Linked DNA regions of Xenopus tropicalis. The protein of the gene in region 1 interacts with the protein of each later gene in a biochemical or structural test. Links are inferred from orthologs where the notes say so. Each region holds a gene or a part of one and is shown on either strand. Other genes may lie near its edges.

Region 1 (8,850 bases):
TAATTTAAAGGTGAACTACCCTTTAAATAACCATCAGCCCTGAACTGGGATTCAAAATAGTCTCGGGCATTTCAAGTACACAGAGGCCCAAACAGCCCCCCCCAGCCCAATAAATAGTGACTGTCTATGGCACCTTACAGCAGCCCCTCTGGCATTTGCCTGAACCCACAGATTGCCAGTCTGGGCCTGATAACCATTGTATTCTAAACAGCTTATCTATAAACAAGCAAATATGAGCCCTAAGTTCCTACTGGATTCATAATATAAATGATAGTTCAACATTATATTGAACCCTTTCATTGCAGTAACAGCAGGTACAGTATGCTGCCAGTTCCGTATCCATATACCAACGTGCTAGTATATAGTAAATAGCAATATTCTCTCAGCGCCTGAGTTATTGGCTCCATAAGCACAGCTAATGAAATAACATATATTTTGTACCTCCTTCTGTGCCAAGACGCTGCAGCTGATGAATTGTCTTACAGCCTATAGGAAATTACTGTGTCGTAACTGCCAGCTGTACTAGGGAATTATTTCAATAAAATGACCAATGCATGGATGTAATTCAGTTTTGCTGTGAGAAATTCTCAGTGCCTGTTCTGCAAACTGCCTGCATTGAATAATAGCCTATATGCCAGCCTGTCATGGGTACTAGGTAGGGAATGCTGCAGCGATGGAAAAACCAACCAAGCCAGAAAATGTTCCATGTTTCAAAATGATGGAGATTAGTTTGTGTAATTTTCTGTGATTTCAGAAGTTCAAGCCCCATTTGCTTCTGACACCTTTAAATCTGGGCTCCTATACAATACACATGCTGCAGGGCTGATTATTGACTGGTTCAGCAAATGCTCGATTGATGGAAAGTGTAGTCATCACTGCAGGGATATATAGACATCTTTCCATTTTGCAGGGTTTGTTTTTTAAAGGAAAAGGTGGCAGTTAGAGCCAAGTACCCCGAGCCCTGCAGAGCAGCAGTAGCAGATAGGAAGAGAAGGGGGATAGAAGGCAAAATGGAAAGAACTGGATAAGATAGTGGCATTAAACTGTTATATCTGGGCCCTACAGCTGTTGTTGGAGCACATCTCTCAGCAGCTACTGACAGCAAAGGGTTAAATACCCATAAATCATGTGAGCATTGTAGGCAGTCCTGTTGGAGAAGAGGGCAGTTATGTTACGTATGTGTTTGCATGGAGGAAACTGGCAGATGGGGATATTTGTCTGCATTCCCTCCTCTGTACATTCCCAGCCTGTATCTCTGGTGTCCTTGTTAGCAAATGAGAGAGGTGAGCCCTTTGCTCCGCCCCTGCCTGCACTGCAATGAGAGGGGAGGGGCTCCTTTTTATTGTTGGGCTGATGTTAACCCATTCAGTCAAAAGCTTTATTTTACCAATTATGAATGGCCCTGTAACTACTGACAAACGCAATTCACAAACATCTAGATCTAGAATTTTTTATATAGTATTCTTGTCCTCTTCAATGTCGTATACATATATATATATATATATATATATATATATATATATATATATATATATTTTAGATGTTGTTTTGAATAAACACCTTTTGTTTCACCATATATATATATACAGTATATATGGGATTATGTAATGTAAGGCACTATATTGGCCCAGGAGCTAGCAATCAGTTGGTAGAATTTACTGGTCACCTGTTTAAAAGCTCTTATTGATTGCTATGGGTTACGGTTACTGGGCAACAGTAGTGCCTTTTATTACATATGGGGGATACAGTCTAGAAAGTAGGTTCATATACAGTATGGCTGGTTTATTTGCTCTTCTGAATTATATTCATGTCAGTTATATTATTTCAGAACAACAAATAAGCCAGCCCGTTGTATGGGAACCTACTATCTAGTCTACAGGAGGAGTATGAGATTTTGACATGATTTGTGGACCCAGGATTGGATGGGTACAAGGTATGGGATCCATTATCCAGAAACCCATTTTCCTGAAAGCTATGAATTACGGGAGGCAAAACAATCCTACTAATGTTTAAATTATTGTTTAGTAGGCTTTAATGGGTTTAGTATGATGTGGAAGGCAATATTCTAAGACAATCTGCAATTGGTCTTTATTTTTTATCATTTATGTTTTTTTATGTATTTTACTTTTATGTCCAGCAACTTCCCAGTTTGGAATTTCAGTAGCTATCTGGTTGCTAAGGTCCAAATTAACATAGCAACCAGGCAGTGATTTGAACGAGAGACGGGAATTTGAATGGGAAAGGGTCCTGAATAAAAGACAAGTAATAAAAAGTAACAATAACAATACAACTGTAGCCTTACAGAGCAATAGTTTTTGGCTGCCGGGGTCAGTGACCCCCATTTGAAAGCTGGAGAGAGGCAGAAGAGGAGAAATAATTAAAAAACTATAAGAAATAAAAAATGAAGACAATTTGAAAGTTTGCTAAGAGCTACCCCTTTAAGACTTCTGTCACAGAGAGGAAGTTAAAGGGGATTTCCACCCCTAAAATAGTTTTTTGCATAATGAAAAACAATCCAAATTTCCAGTGCACATTCTGTGATTTTCAAGTTATTTGTAAAGGAAATTTCAGCTAAAAGCTGTGTTTGTTTATCTCTTTCTGTTCTCTGGTTCTGACTCTTGAAACAATGTAGCAGGAGTCAGTTCTCCTCCAGGTCTGCTAATCAGTCGGCTTCTGTTATTGTGTTACCACAGTCAGAACCAGCAGTGCAGAAAAGGTATAAGTCAGTGGTTCTTAACCGTCATAATGCCGCGACCCTTTAATACAGTTCCTCATGTTGTGGTGACCCCCAACCATAAAATGATTCCTAACCCCTGTGAAAGGGTCCTTCGACCCCCAAAGGGGTCCCGACCCACAGGTTGAGAACCGCTGGTTTATCTTTTCCTGTTCTCTGGTTCTGAAACAATGTAGCAGGAGTCAGTTCTCCTCCAGGTCTGCTAATCAGTCGGCTTCTGTTATTTTGTTACGACAGTCAGAACCAGCAGTGCAGAAAGGGTATAAGTCAGTGGTTCTCAACCTTCCTCATGTTGTGGTGACCCCCAACCATAAAATTATTCCTAACACCATCAGAAATATGTGTTTTCTGATGTTCTTAGGCGACCCCTGTGAAAGGGTTGTTCGACCCCCAAAGGGGTCCCGACCCACAGGTTGAGAAGCGCTGGTATAAGTGAAAGTGTGGCTCGGCGCCAGGGAATAGATTATGGGCTACAGATCAATGGCCGGAAGTGGTTATACAGGGACTTTGGCCGCTCTCTGACGCAGGTTAATAATGAGGCCCAGGTCCCTGGCCAGTCGCAGGTTAATAGTGTTATGTACCGCAGTGCTGTACTGTTGTGTCACCTTGCCTTGTGACTCTGGCTTTCACGTGATCCACAGAGAATAAACAGGTGACTCAGACAAACAGGTTTGCGTGTCAATCACTTGCCATGCCCTGTGCCACTGCCTATTTACTATATCTCATCCTGGCCTGCACCCTTCCCACTAACCCCCACCCTAAAAACCCTGGAATATGATTTCAGCGCCTGCGAGCTATAGGGTTCTTTAAACTGAGACTGTTTATTTTTCATTTGTCCTGTCTGGCAGAGAGAAGGTTAATTTCAGCATCCCCCTTTGTTTTGTTCTGCTGGTACTGCCCAGGGGCGGGGCTTAGTGATGTCACATTGCCCTTGCTCAGTACACTGTAACATAGCTTGTTATTGCATCTGCTGAGCAGTAGACAGCGAGGGGCATCAGCTGACTGATATATACATTTATATACTGTATATACACTATCTCCTGGGGCAGCCATGAAATTCCAGTATAAGGAGGATCATCCTTTCGAATACAGGAAGAAGGAGGGCGAGAAGATCAGAAAGAAATACCCGGATAGGGTGCCTGTAAGTAGGGACAGCAGAGCTGTGTCATCTCCCTATGGATCCCACTCTCCATCCCTTGTATCCCTTGTATCTCTCTCCTACCCACACTGTATCCCTGTCCTACCTACACTGTATCCCTTGTATCCCTGTCCTACCCACTCTGTATCCCTTGTATCCCTGTCCTACCCACACTGTATCCCTTGTATCCCTGTCCTACCCACTCTGTATCCCTTGTATCCCTGTCCTACCCACACTGTATCCCTTGTATCCCTGTCCTACCCACGCTGTATCCCTTGTATCCCTGTCCTACCCACTCTGTATCCCTTGTATCCCTGTCCTACCCACTCTGTATCCCTTGTATCCCTGTCCTACCCACGCTGTATCCCTTGTATCCCTGTCCTACCCACGCTGTATCCCTTGTATCCCTGTCCTACCCACGCTGTATCCCTTGTATCCCTGTCCTACCCACTCTGTATCCCTTGTATCCCTGTCCTACCCACTCTGTATCCCTTGTATCCCTGTCCTACCCACACTGCATCTGTACAGCACCCTAATGTCCCCCTGTCAGCACAGATATGGGTTCCCTTAGAGTGAATTCCGACCCAAAAACTGCTTATTGCACAATGAAAGACAATGTAATTCCAAGCGACTTTCCCATGTACATTTGTTATAGTATTTCGGTGTTCGATGTCATTGCTATGGGAAGTACCGTCTGTTCCTATTCTCTGAACTCCTCCTGTGACAATGGAACAATGTAGCAGCCCCTGGGCGGGCAGGACTTCTGCTACATTGTTTCAACTCTGGAAAGGAAGCGGCAGAAAGGGAGAAATTAATGTTAATTTCAACGGCAATTACACTAAGTACAAACCATTAAAATGGAATGTACATTGGAAAGCTGCTTAGAATGACATTTGCTATCAGTGTGCGTAAAACAGGTTTTGGGTGGAGTTCCCCTTTAATTCCTTGGCTTTCTGCTGACGGCACAGAGCTTTGTAGTTGTGCTGTTCCTTCGGTAGGGAGCTTTGTGCTCTCTGCCAGACTTCCTATGGGCCGCAGTCATTGTTAGAGACATCTGTAAGAAAGAAAGCCACTCATTGTCACCTGCCCCTCCTCCGATTCCTGGTCTGTCACCTTCTGCTGCCACTGAAACATGTACTGTCTGTTGCTATGGACTGTCACTGCCACTGCTGCAAAGCCATTGGCTGTCAGCTGCCCCCACTGCAGAGCCACTGACTGTCACCTGCTGCCTTTTCCTTGGCTCATACACTGCCCCCCCCCCCCTGCTATAGATCTGTAGCTTTATACCCCCCTCCCAGGCTACAGCTCCTCATTATATCAGTCCCAGCAGTGCGAGTCCTGCATGTCACTTTCCCTTGGTGCAGAACATTGTCCTGTCTAGTTACTTATTGACTGTCACTTTCCCTAACCGCAGAGCTTGCAGAACCATGTACTGTCACTTATGTAAGCTCTACGGGGCAGGGACCTCCTTCCCACTGTGTCTCATACCACATGGCACTTATATATATATATATATATATATATTGTATTTATTTATTATATCACTTGTCCTCCCTGTGTGTAATTGTGTATATTGTAAGATTTTACAGCGCTGCGTACCCTTGTGGCGCTTTATAAATAAAGTTATACATACATACATACATACTCTGGCTGCAGAGCCTTGTCCTGCCTTGCAAGCGACTATACACACTCGGAGCTACTAGTAGCAGCTACTTTTTCACGGCTCATTAAATGATCAGCATTGTCTAATTTAGTAGCCAAGACAAGTAGCTGCTACTAGTAGTTCTGTGTGTCTTCACCCTAAGAAGGATTTATCTCAAGGTGGGGAGGCATAGGCCTTTCTACAATGCCCATGTTTGTCTTCTTCTCCCAGGGTAAATACATTAGTAATACTAGTCATCAGGGACAGACCTTCTCCTGCTCCCCCCCTGTATATAATAATTACGTTATTGTCCGGTCCCCTGGTCATAAACTGTTATTCACAAGAGCTATGAATATCTTGTAACTGATATCCTTATAAACAGTGCTTAGTGATGTCATTAGTTATAAACGGTGCTCAGTGATGTCATTTGTGTTACATGCAGGGTCGGACTGGGCTGGCAGGACAAAAACGTGGTGGGCCCCACTGGCCCAGAACTGATCCCTGCTGGGCTCTCCGAGGCCCGCAGGTCCCCCTCTCCCAATGTGCCTAAGTATGCACGCGTGGGGGAGGGGGTTGGGTGGGCAGCAGGGGCCCGAGGGTGATGGGGACCATGGTGGAGGTCCCTTGGGGGGGGGGTGCAGAGCCCCCGCGGTGACTTGTCTTACAATTTTGAGTTCCCTGACCTGTATAAAAGTGCTCAGCCTGTGTCCTTGTGCGTTTATATGGCTATGGGTCTCATATGTAACTGTTAATATCCTTGTAATACACAAGAACCATGAGTTTCCTTTAACATATATCCTTATAAACAGTGCTTAATGATGTCTTTGGCCTTGTGTTTTTATATGGTCAAAGTGACTTATAATATCCTTATATTTGTATCTTTCATATAACCAAGAGCTTTAATGTGGATTCTATAAAATGTTAATATTTATACATTATAGAAGAGATTGCAGGGCTAATTAGTAATCTATCCCCCATATGTTATACAAGGCACTAAGTTTCCCCAGGAGCAGTAATAGCAACCAGGAGGTTGAGTTTACTGGTCATGTGTTTAAAAGCAAACATCTTATTGGTTGCCATGGGTTACTGCTCCCGGGCAAACGTAGTGCCTTTTATTACATATGGGGGTAAATATGGTAGTGTTGTAAAGGGCAACTAAAATATCCATATAGTTATTTAAGCCATAGAGCTGCTGTACTTGCACTTACATACGGCAGCACCGGACACCGTAACATACAATATGCTCTGCCTCCTCCCCTTATGTCTCTTCCTTTTGTGCCCGTCTGTACATACCATATTAATGGTGCCCAGTAGGCATATCTCAGTGGCACCACCAGCTGATGGAGACTGCAGTCTGTGTGACTAGTGTGTGTTACTGGCAAATAGGTGCTACAGGGCAACCCGGGCCTTTCCTCCTCTACTGCCTGCACTGCAATGAGAGGGGAGGTGTTTGCTTGCGCTGTAGTTAACCCTTTCAGTACTTGGCTGCTGCAGTCCAGGCCGTTATTATGCTACAGATGCCAGTATATATTATATATATATATACATGTTATTTATTGGGCATGATAAGTCACTGCCTGCTTGTTTTACACATTCCCCTCCTGTGTTCAACATAATTACATCATTGTAGATTTATTATTCTCCTTTATGAAAAACATTTATTTGGAGTGACAGGATTCTCATGTACTAATATAACAAATCAACCATTATGCATACAAATTATCGATATATTTATAATATATCACTATATTTATTAAGGCAGTCTGGTGTAAACTATAATTTTTTTATACCTACGCAGCTATAGTATAGGATGCATAAGTAAATTGTCTCCCTCTCGTATTTGATGATGCAGACTTCCAGGCATTCTGACTTTAAAGGGGAAGTTCACCTAAAATGTAATTTGTTGTTGTATGTTGAAGCTTTTTAGTTCTGCCTTTCCCCAAGCACTATATCTTTTTCTATCATTTATTTATATATATATATATATACAAAATGCAGAATGAAGAGCACACCAAAGTTAAAATGCACTACCTGGGTGCCAGAGCAGCAGACATGGAATAGAAAATACAGAATGTCGGCACTCACAGGATTTTCACGAAAAATAGTCACTAGCAGTCAGTCATGTTTTAGAGATGCAATCAAGTGGAGTTTATTAATCCAACGTTTCAGTTCCCTACTGGAACCTTCGTCAGGGAAGCACATTGCATCTCTAAAACATGACTGACTGCTAGTGACTATTTTTCGTGAAAATCCTGTGAGTGCCGACATTCTGTATTTTCTATATATATATATATATATATAAATGCTCCAGAAGAAATCGGGAAGTCACGGCGAAAGGATCGGAGACAACAACCGCAACGGAAAGTTCGCAACAGATAGTATTTAACCTTTCTTCAGTTGAACTAACGCCATTACAAATACAGGTGTTAGAACGGGGCTTAAACTTTTGTCCTACATCACAGTTAGATTCTTTTCAGTTACAGGTGGATTTGTATCGTTTTTTTCGAGCATTAAGACTCAAAGTACATTTCACTCATAATATGACATATAATGAAGCTGAAAATACCGAATGTGGTTTTGATATTAGCAAGGTTGGCTTAAGATCACGTAGCCATTTTGTCCCCCCCACAACATATCCGGCAGTAGAAATGTATATTCAAAAAGTTCGGTCTGAGGTTGAGTCTGATATTGAACATAGTGCCCATAAGGGCCCATATAATATGTCTAAAGCTGAAATTGAGACAATAACCGAGCTTAAATCGATGTCCAGCATAACTATCAAACCTTCAGATAAAGGAGGGGCGATAGTTGTTATGGACACGAACAAATATATTGCTGAGATTGAACGTCACTTGGGGGACCTTGGAGTTTATATCCCATTGAAAGGTGATCCAACGGAATCCTTTAAACGGAGCTGGATCACTTATTAAAGCATGCAGTACTATCTAATGTTATTACTATGTCAACGTCACAATATATGTGGATAGACTTTCCCATTATACCTGTAATTTATGTACTTCCTAAAATACATAAGGACCCCATTAATCCACCAGGTAGACCTATAGTGGCTGGGGTGGGCTCACTTACCAGCAATATAGCTGAGGTCCTGGATAAGATACTTAGTCCTTTAGTTCAGAAGACACGCTCATATATAAGAGATACTCATGATTTTTTACAAAAACTATCTAATATAAATGAATTGGCTGATGAAGTATGGCTGGTAACTTTTGATGTTACCAGTCTATATACATCTATACCTCATATTGAAGGGATTATGGCGGTAAAGACACTTCTGATAAAAAGTGGACAATACACTGAAATGGAGATTAATTTTTT
Region 2 (7,484 bases), on another chromosome or scaffold:
TTATAGAAGGGGATGGTATTCTGGAGGTTTGTCATCTGTGGTAGCGCAGATTTACCATGAGGTGACAAATCTCCTTGTCTGCCATCACCCTTACATGTGATTTTCTGGTTGTGCAGACATAAAAAATTTGGCAGTAGTTAAGGTACCAATGTTTTTTCCTCTTGCATATAGGTTGATCAGCGTGTGTTCAAGGACTTGATGAATGAGAAGTTGCCTCGTCTCTGTGCTCACTTTGAGCAGTATAAAGTGGATTACACTTTGATTACATTTAATTGGTTCCTTGTGGTGTTTGTGGACAGTGTGGTCAGTGACATCTTGTTCAGGATATGGGACTCCTTACTGTATGAGGGTTCAAAGGTAAGGATTAAATCTGGTCTAAACTGTCCCCTAAATTCTTGCTCAAAAATGTTATAATGTTCTCTGCCTACGTGGCGTTTTGATTACTGGGGTGTTATTTCTGAGAATAGTGGTGATGAAAATGCTGTATACTGTTGGCAGCTGCCGTCACTTTTGCCAAATGGGAAGCTGTTTAATGACAAACCATAGTCTAATTAAAAGTTAATGCTGACTTCTGTATTTTTAAGTGATTCTTGGTTAAAGGATAAAGTAAGCCTTATATTTAAAATCCCCTAAAATTATTCTAAACAGCCCCCATAATAACATACCTTTCTCCCTGCATGCAGATTTATTTTGTTTCTCTATTGTAGTTTTTAGTTACTTCTTTGTGTAGTATGAAGCTCCAACCCTTTTGCAATCAGTCAGGCATGCCCAGTAGGCACCTCTTTGAGGTCATCATAGTTGGAGAGTGAAGGGAGTGCTCAGAAGGTGAAAGGGGTCAAAAAGGCAGTAATAAAAAGCAAAAAAAATAAGGCTGGAGAAAGGTATTTTGTTCTAGGGGCTGTACAGAGTAACTTTAGAGATTAAAAAAAGGTTTGCTTCTTTAATACAGTGTTTATATAGGGTGTTATATATAGTGGATAACATACAGGCACAAATAGAAGGGTAGGGGCATTGGCCCTTAAAGGGGACATATGTAAAAAACAAGAATGTGCCATTGCATTATACAGATATAGAAGGGATGTTATACAAAGAAAAGAGGGGTGTGCTTTGTGCTGCTATACTATATATAATGGTACTAAATACTAGTACTATAACTACTGCTATACTAATTTCCCCCAAAACTGTACTAGCACCACCCATCTGTTCCTCTTCCCACTGGCTGCTTTCCCAGAGTGTGCAGAAGAGCCAGCAGCGCTTTGCACTTTAGGATGCCAGCCAATCAGCAGCTAGGCAGACCTGATGGTTTACTTGCAGTCTGCTTGTGTGAATACAGATCTAACCTTGCACCATATAGTATTCATTATTGCCTTTGAGATTAGGGGTATTTTAATTTAAACTATGGGGCCCATTTACTATCGTTCATATTTTTATGAATTATGGATTTTTAAAATGCTTTTGAAAAATTTTACGTTTATGTGTTCTTTTCATTTTCGTTCTGCATTTTAATTCTTTTGTGTTTTTTATATTTGGATCTTTTAATAAATGACTAAACATTCATGGTTTTGATAAATGGGCTAAGGGCTCTGGCACACGGGGAGATTAGTCGTCCGCGACAAATCTCCCTGTTCGCGGGCGACTAATCTCCCCAAAATACCATCCCACTGACGAAAATGTAAATCGCCGGTGGGATGGCATACGCGGCGGCGCGGTTTCAGTGAAAGTTGCCTTGAGAGGACGACTAATCTCCCCATGTGCCAGAGCCCTAAGACTGAACCAGATAATGTTGTAGTGCTCCAAAAGGTAGGATCTGAGTTTGAGATTAAAATTTAGAGATGGCATTCCATAGGTTAGGAGCAGTGAGATAGAACCGTTAAAGACAAAGGATGGCAGTTGGTGTGAGTGGTGTAAAAGAACTGTGGTTCAGAGAGTAACAGGTGAAGAAATGCAGGGAGAAGCAAAAGGCTTTGAATGTCAGCAGAAAGATTTTGTATGCTGTATTTTGCTCAACAGGCAGCCCCTCAGGGGCTGTAAGGAGAGAGCAGAAGGATTCTAGCAGCAAAGTTTTAGATCGATTGCATTGTGGTGGGAGACCAGGTAGTACAGGAATGAAATCCATTATCCGGTAAGCTCAGAATTACAGGAAGGGTATTTCCCACAGACCCAATTTTAATCAAATAATTAAATTATTTAAAAATTATTTTCTTTTTTTTAATTTTGTAAAACAACCTTGTACTGATTCTGAGATATAAGTAATTTAGAGGCAAAAGAATCCTGTTCCATTTATTTAATGTTAAAGTGATTTTTTTTTTTTTAGTAGACTTAAGGTATGCAGATCCAGAATATATAAATATCCCTTATCTGTAAAGCCCCAGGCATTCTCAAGCATTCTGGATAACATGTTCCATACATGTAGTACAGGTATGGGATCCCTTATCTGGAAACCTGTTATCCAGAAAGTTCCGAAAAGTCTGTCTCCCATAGACTCCATTATAAGCAAATCATTCAAATTTTTAAAAATGATTTCCCTGTAATAATAAAACAGTACCTTGTACTTGATCACAACTAAGATATAATTAATCCTTATTGGAGGCAAAACAATCCTATTGGGTTTATTCAATATTTAAATGATTTTTAGCAGACTTAAGTTATGGAGATCCTTATCTGGAAGAACCCAGGTCCTGAGCATTCTGGATAATAGGTCCCATACCTGTACTTTGCAATAGTATACTAAATAAATCAGTCATTATTGTACCACTGCAATAGACTAATTAAACTTCTGATGTTGTTCATGGCACGATTGTGACTTAATAAGTAAATAAGCTAAGCAGTGTTCAGTGGAGTAATGTATGCAAGTGGCTGCCTATGAGAGTAACATGGTTTTTTTATGTAGTTTGCCACCGAGACCTACATTGTATTTGACTGTGTAAGATGCCCTTTTGTTTATGGATGTCACTGTTTCTTTAACATTGCTAGACCGCATTATACATTTCAAACTACATTTTTTGTCTTCTAAGGCTATAATGACCTTGATGATACCTCAGATTTCCCATGTATCCTGTGTAAAAGTAACCACACATTGACTTTCTGTTCTGCTTTCTGAAATGAGTCCAGTTGTATTTTCAGCTTTGTATTGAGCAGAGGTGGCTATTAGCCTGTGTTAACTCTGCCATAAAGCAAGATAGGGCTTATGCTGTTTGCCATAAAGGAAATAGAAATAGTGACGAGTAACAAAATTGATTCCTCCATACAAACATAAAAAGTAAAATGAATCTGTTCAGAAATAATCAAAAACATTTTCTTTAAATCTACATTATTTGACACAATATTTCACATTTTTTCAAAAGTAAACACTTTTAATTGTCTCAACAGTATTCCTTTTTACCTCTCCTCTAAACCTAGGTGATTTTCCGCTTTGCTTTGGGATTATTTAAGTACAAAGAAGAGGAGATACTAAAGCTACAAGATTCAATGTCCATTTTTAAGTACTTGCGCTATTTTAGCCGGACAATCCTTGATGCACGGTAAGTATCTAAACTAGTTACTGCCATCTCTAGTGAAACTTGTCCTGTTATTTAAAGTCAACCAAGTAGTAGAGGTGCACACCCGCTCAGCCCCATCTTCTTGGTCCCCCCACCTTGGTCCGCATTGCTATTACTGCAGTGGAATGCAATGATTAAAGTGTACCTTTTTTGCCAATGTCTGTTTATAAGGGGTTCTTCTCTGGATAAAATGGTTATTTACAAACGTGTTTTTGCATCTGTTGGCAATATAAACTGTTCCTAGTGCAAAACAGTGTAATGTAATGTCAGACTTCCATGGAGTACCTAGGTGGCACTCCTGGCATATACTGTTGAAAACTGATTCTGCTGTACCATTCTACAGTGCAAGACATGAATCTGATCATAGAGTAACGAATTCTACACAGTGTGATGTTTCTAAATGACCCCAGTGAGTTTTCAGATACAACTTGATTTATCTGCGCACCTAGATTTTCCATGCCTTTTATAACAGACATATATTTATTATTGGTATAATTGGTAGCATTTATTTTCATATACAACATACAGTACTGCTGTCTCAATAATGATAGGTCATAAACATTCATATTGTACATATAGTTCACATGGAGTGTGATTTGCCTTTGATGACATGCTGCACTAGGTGCAGAGCAGAGGGAAGGTGGCTCTGCCTGAACATCATTGAGATTAACATTTAGAGTGAATAAATTGCCTTTTGTTTGTATTCAGGGTAACTGCATAGTCTGTATTTTGTATACCTATAACCTTGTAATATGCTAAGGTAGACTAAAGAAATGTTGGGCTGCAAGTGAAGACTTACCCATCAGCTGTAGACCCCAAATTACAACAGAGCTTTGAAAATGATGCCTGAAAATGTTATTGCATTCTGTATCCAAATGAATGATGGCTAGAATCTTCGCATAACTGTGCCACAAAAAATGGATTATTCCCAGGATTTTAATATGAGAAAAATAAAGGCTTACTGCATAGCAAGCGAGAGCTGATTAATATAAATGGATCTACAAACACAGCCAGTATGGTCAGCGCTATTTTTAAGATGACTTATTTAAATCATATTGGACTATGCTAATTCAATAAAATCAATGGTAGTTAGTAGAGTTGCATACATTGCCTACATTCCTTGTGCAATTGTACTAGTTTAGAATTTCACTGGATTTCACACAGCATACAAATGAGTAAAAACACAACACAGGACATAGTATTTCTGTACTTGAATACATCCGTAGGACTTTTACGTTGGTCATCTTACTTAATCTACTCTGTATAGCTGAGATACTTGAATTGTTTGCTTATATTTCAGAAAGCTCTGTAATATTGCATTTGTCGACATGAATCCATTCCCTCTGCGCCAGATCCGCAACAGACGCACTTACCATTTGGAAAAAGTTCGCCTAGAGCTGTCAGAGCTGGAAGCAATTCGTGCAGACTTTATACGCGAGCGGGAGACCAACCCTGAGAGGCGCGACCTTATAAGCGACGATGAAGAGGACAGTTAAGCAATTAGTGCATGAATGAGATTTCTCTCCCTATCTGTGTATTCCTGACAAGGATTTGGTAATAACTGAGCATATTTCCAAGAGACATGCTACTGCTCCCAGAGGGCTTCTTGACAAGTAAATCTGATGCTTCACACAAGTGTTAAAAACACATTTAAAAAAAAAAACTGGAAAATGCTACGTGATTTTTTTTCTCTTCAAAATCAGTATTCAACATGTCATTAGAAAGCAGCCTAAATTGACTCTGGACTCAATTCTTTGTTTTGAATGTACTCTTAATTATGGGATATCCAGAACACAGCACATATACAGGTATCGGACCCCTTATCCGGAAACCCGTTATCCAGAAAGCTCCGAATTACGGAATGTCCGTCTCCCATAGACTCCATTTTAATCAAATAATTCAGAATTTTAAAACTGATTTCCTTTTTCTATGTAGAAATAAAACAGAACCTTGTAATTGATTCCAACTAAGATATAATTAATCCTTATTGGATGCAAAACAATCCTATTGGGTTTAATTAATGTTTTATTGATTTTTTAGTAGACTTAAGGTATGGAGATCCAAATTACGGAAAGACCCCTTATCCGGAATACCCTTGGTCCCGAGCATTCTGGATAATGGGTCCTATACCTGTACCATGAAAATAATGTTTATGTTTCCAGTCTGAGCAAGTTCAAAATATTCTGTTAGCACCTTTGTCACCTGCATATACACACATAGGGGCACATTTACTAATCCTCGAATCCAAATCCCGAATGGGAAAAAAACGGATTGGAAACGAAAATTTTGCGATTTTTTTTTTTCCGTCGCCGCCGCGATTGTTTTGTATTTGTCGCGACTTTTTTGGCGCTGTTGCGACTTTATCGTATTTTGCGCGATTATTTCGTCACCGTCGCAATTTTTTCGTATTGTGCTATAGTAAATGGCGGAAAAACCAATCCGAATTTTTTGCGACGGCGACGAAAAAGTCGTAACGGCGACGAAAAAGTCGCAAAAATACTAGTCATTATGAAAAAACCGCATTCGGACGCTTTCGGACGGTCGTGGATTAGTAAATGTGCCCCATAGTCTTCAGAAACACAGCGCTTTTAAATAATAATACATTTTAATCACTTGTGCAATCAAGGAATTTAGTAAGTAATGGGATTTTTGTTACTGTCATATATTAACCCTCTTTTCTTTTAAAACGTTCAAAATGTTACCTTTATATACATCATTCTTTTTGCATGCCCTGGTTAAACAGTATGTATATGAACTTTTTTTCTTAAATTCTTATAAGTCCAGGTCAGTTAAGCAGTGAGTATTTAAGCAGTATTATATAAACATATTTTTTATGTGCCCAAGCTGAAGATTTTACATGAAATCCCGTCATTAAAACCTGATTATTCTGACCGCCTGAACAACAGTAAGCTGGCACAAGGGAGTATTTAGTTATTTTATTACGACAGTGCATGTGAAAGGGAGAATTATTGTATATTGGTACTTAAAATGACATGAAACCATGTCAGTCACTTTTGCTCCACTTTGAAATCTGTGAAATGCAGAAGGAGAACACAGAGAAAAGGGAGCATGTTTTTTTGTTTTTCACATGGTTAGGTGTTGCATTCACATTGGACCAAAAGGCTAGTGAGAATAAAGATATTAATGGCTTACAGTATTGATAAGAATGTTTGCACCTATGGATGACATTGTTTGTTAAAATGAAAGAGTCCAGTAATCGCCTCTTTTTATTGACTCTCTACATAAACTTTATGTAAATTAACCACTGTTCCAAGTGCCTTTGAACACTTTGAAGATTGATCCATTGTGGGTCATATGTTCTGACACCACTGAAGATTAATTCATATATTTTTCACAAAATGCTGGATAATTATCCCTTTTTATATTACTTTTTGGCTTTAATTTTTCCACTTCTTAAGTATTGTGGTATGAATGATCTTTTTGTTTGTGAAAGAGTTGCTATGAACATTTTTGCTGCCAGAATAGCTGAGAGTGTGAATTTGGACGACAGCTACACATGGAGTGTGTACATGGGTTAACTGTTTTGAATATAAACATATCAGTACATATAAACACAGATATGGTCACTGTACTCATGTGTTTTTTATGCATTTCCCAGCTCAATTATTAACTAGAATGTAATGTCTAATGCTGGAAAATTGTGCCTTCTTCATTTAGGAAAATGCTTAAATAATACATTGGATTAACAAGTTTGAATAAATGCTTGTGAGTATTTCTCAACTTATTTTACTTCATATTGCACAATTTTTTATACATATAGAGTGAGTTGAAGTGCATGATCCTTGCATCTATGTGTAAAGGTGGACATACAAGGGCCGATAAAAGCTGCAGTTGTTTCCATTTTTTTTTAAGTTTGCCTCACACTTAATTGTTTTTGCTGCTGGGGTTGGGGTTAATCTTATGTCTTGGCTCCTACACAGGGAT

Evidence for each region. The genes of interacting proteins can lie anywhere in the genome.
Region 2: the proteins of gabarapl1 (region 1) and tbc1d2b form a complex in vitro, tested with the Homo sapiens proteins (2 studies listed by BioGRID and IntAct). The link is inferred for Xenopus tropicalis from reciprocal best matches to the Homo sapiens genes GABARAPL1 and TBC1D2B.

What each region holds. Positions count from the first base shown.
Region 1 is NC_030683.2:18,815,899-18,824,748, reverse strand, and holds the start of gabarapl1 (gamma-aminobutyric acid receptor-associated protein-like 1), read left to right. Parts: upstream 1-3,702; 5' UTR 3,703-3,785; coding exon 3,786-3,875; intron 3,876-8,850. UniProt on the Homo sapiens protein: Ubiquitin-like modifier that increases cell-surface expression of kappa-type opioid receptor through facilitating anterograde intracellular trafficking of the receptor. Involved in formation of autophagosomal vacuoles.
Region 2 is NC_030679.2:91,181,160-91,188,643, forward strand, and holds the end of tbc1d2b (TBC1 domain family member 2B), read left to right. Parts: intron 1-171; coding exon 172-357; intron 358-3,399; coding exon 3,400-3,521; intron 3,522-4,839; coding exon 4,840-5,035; 3' UTR 5,036-5,202; downstream 5,203-7,484. UniProt on the Homo sapiens protein: GTPase-activating protein that plays a role in the early steps of endocytosis.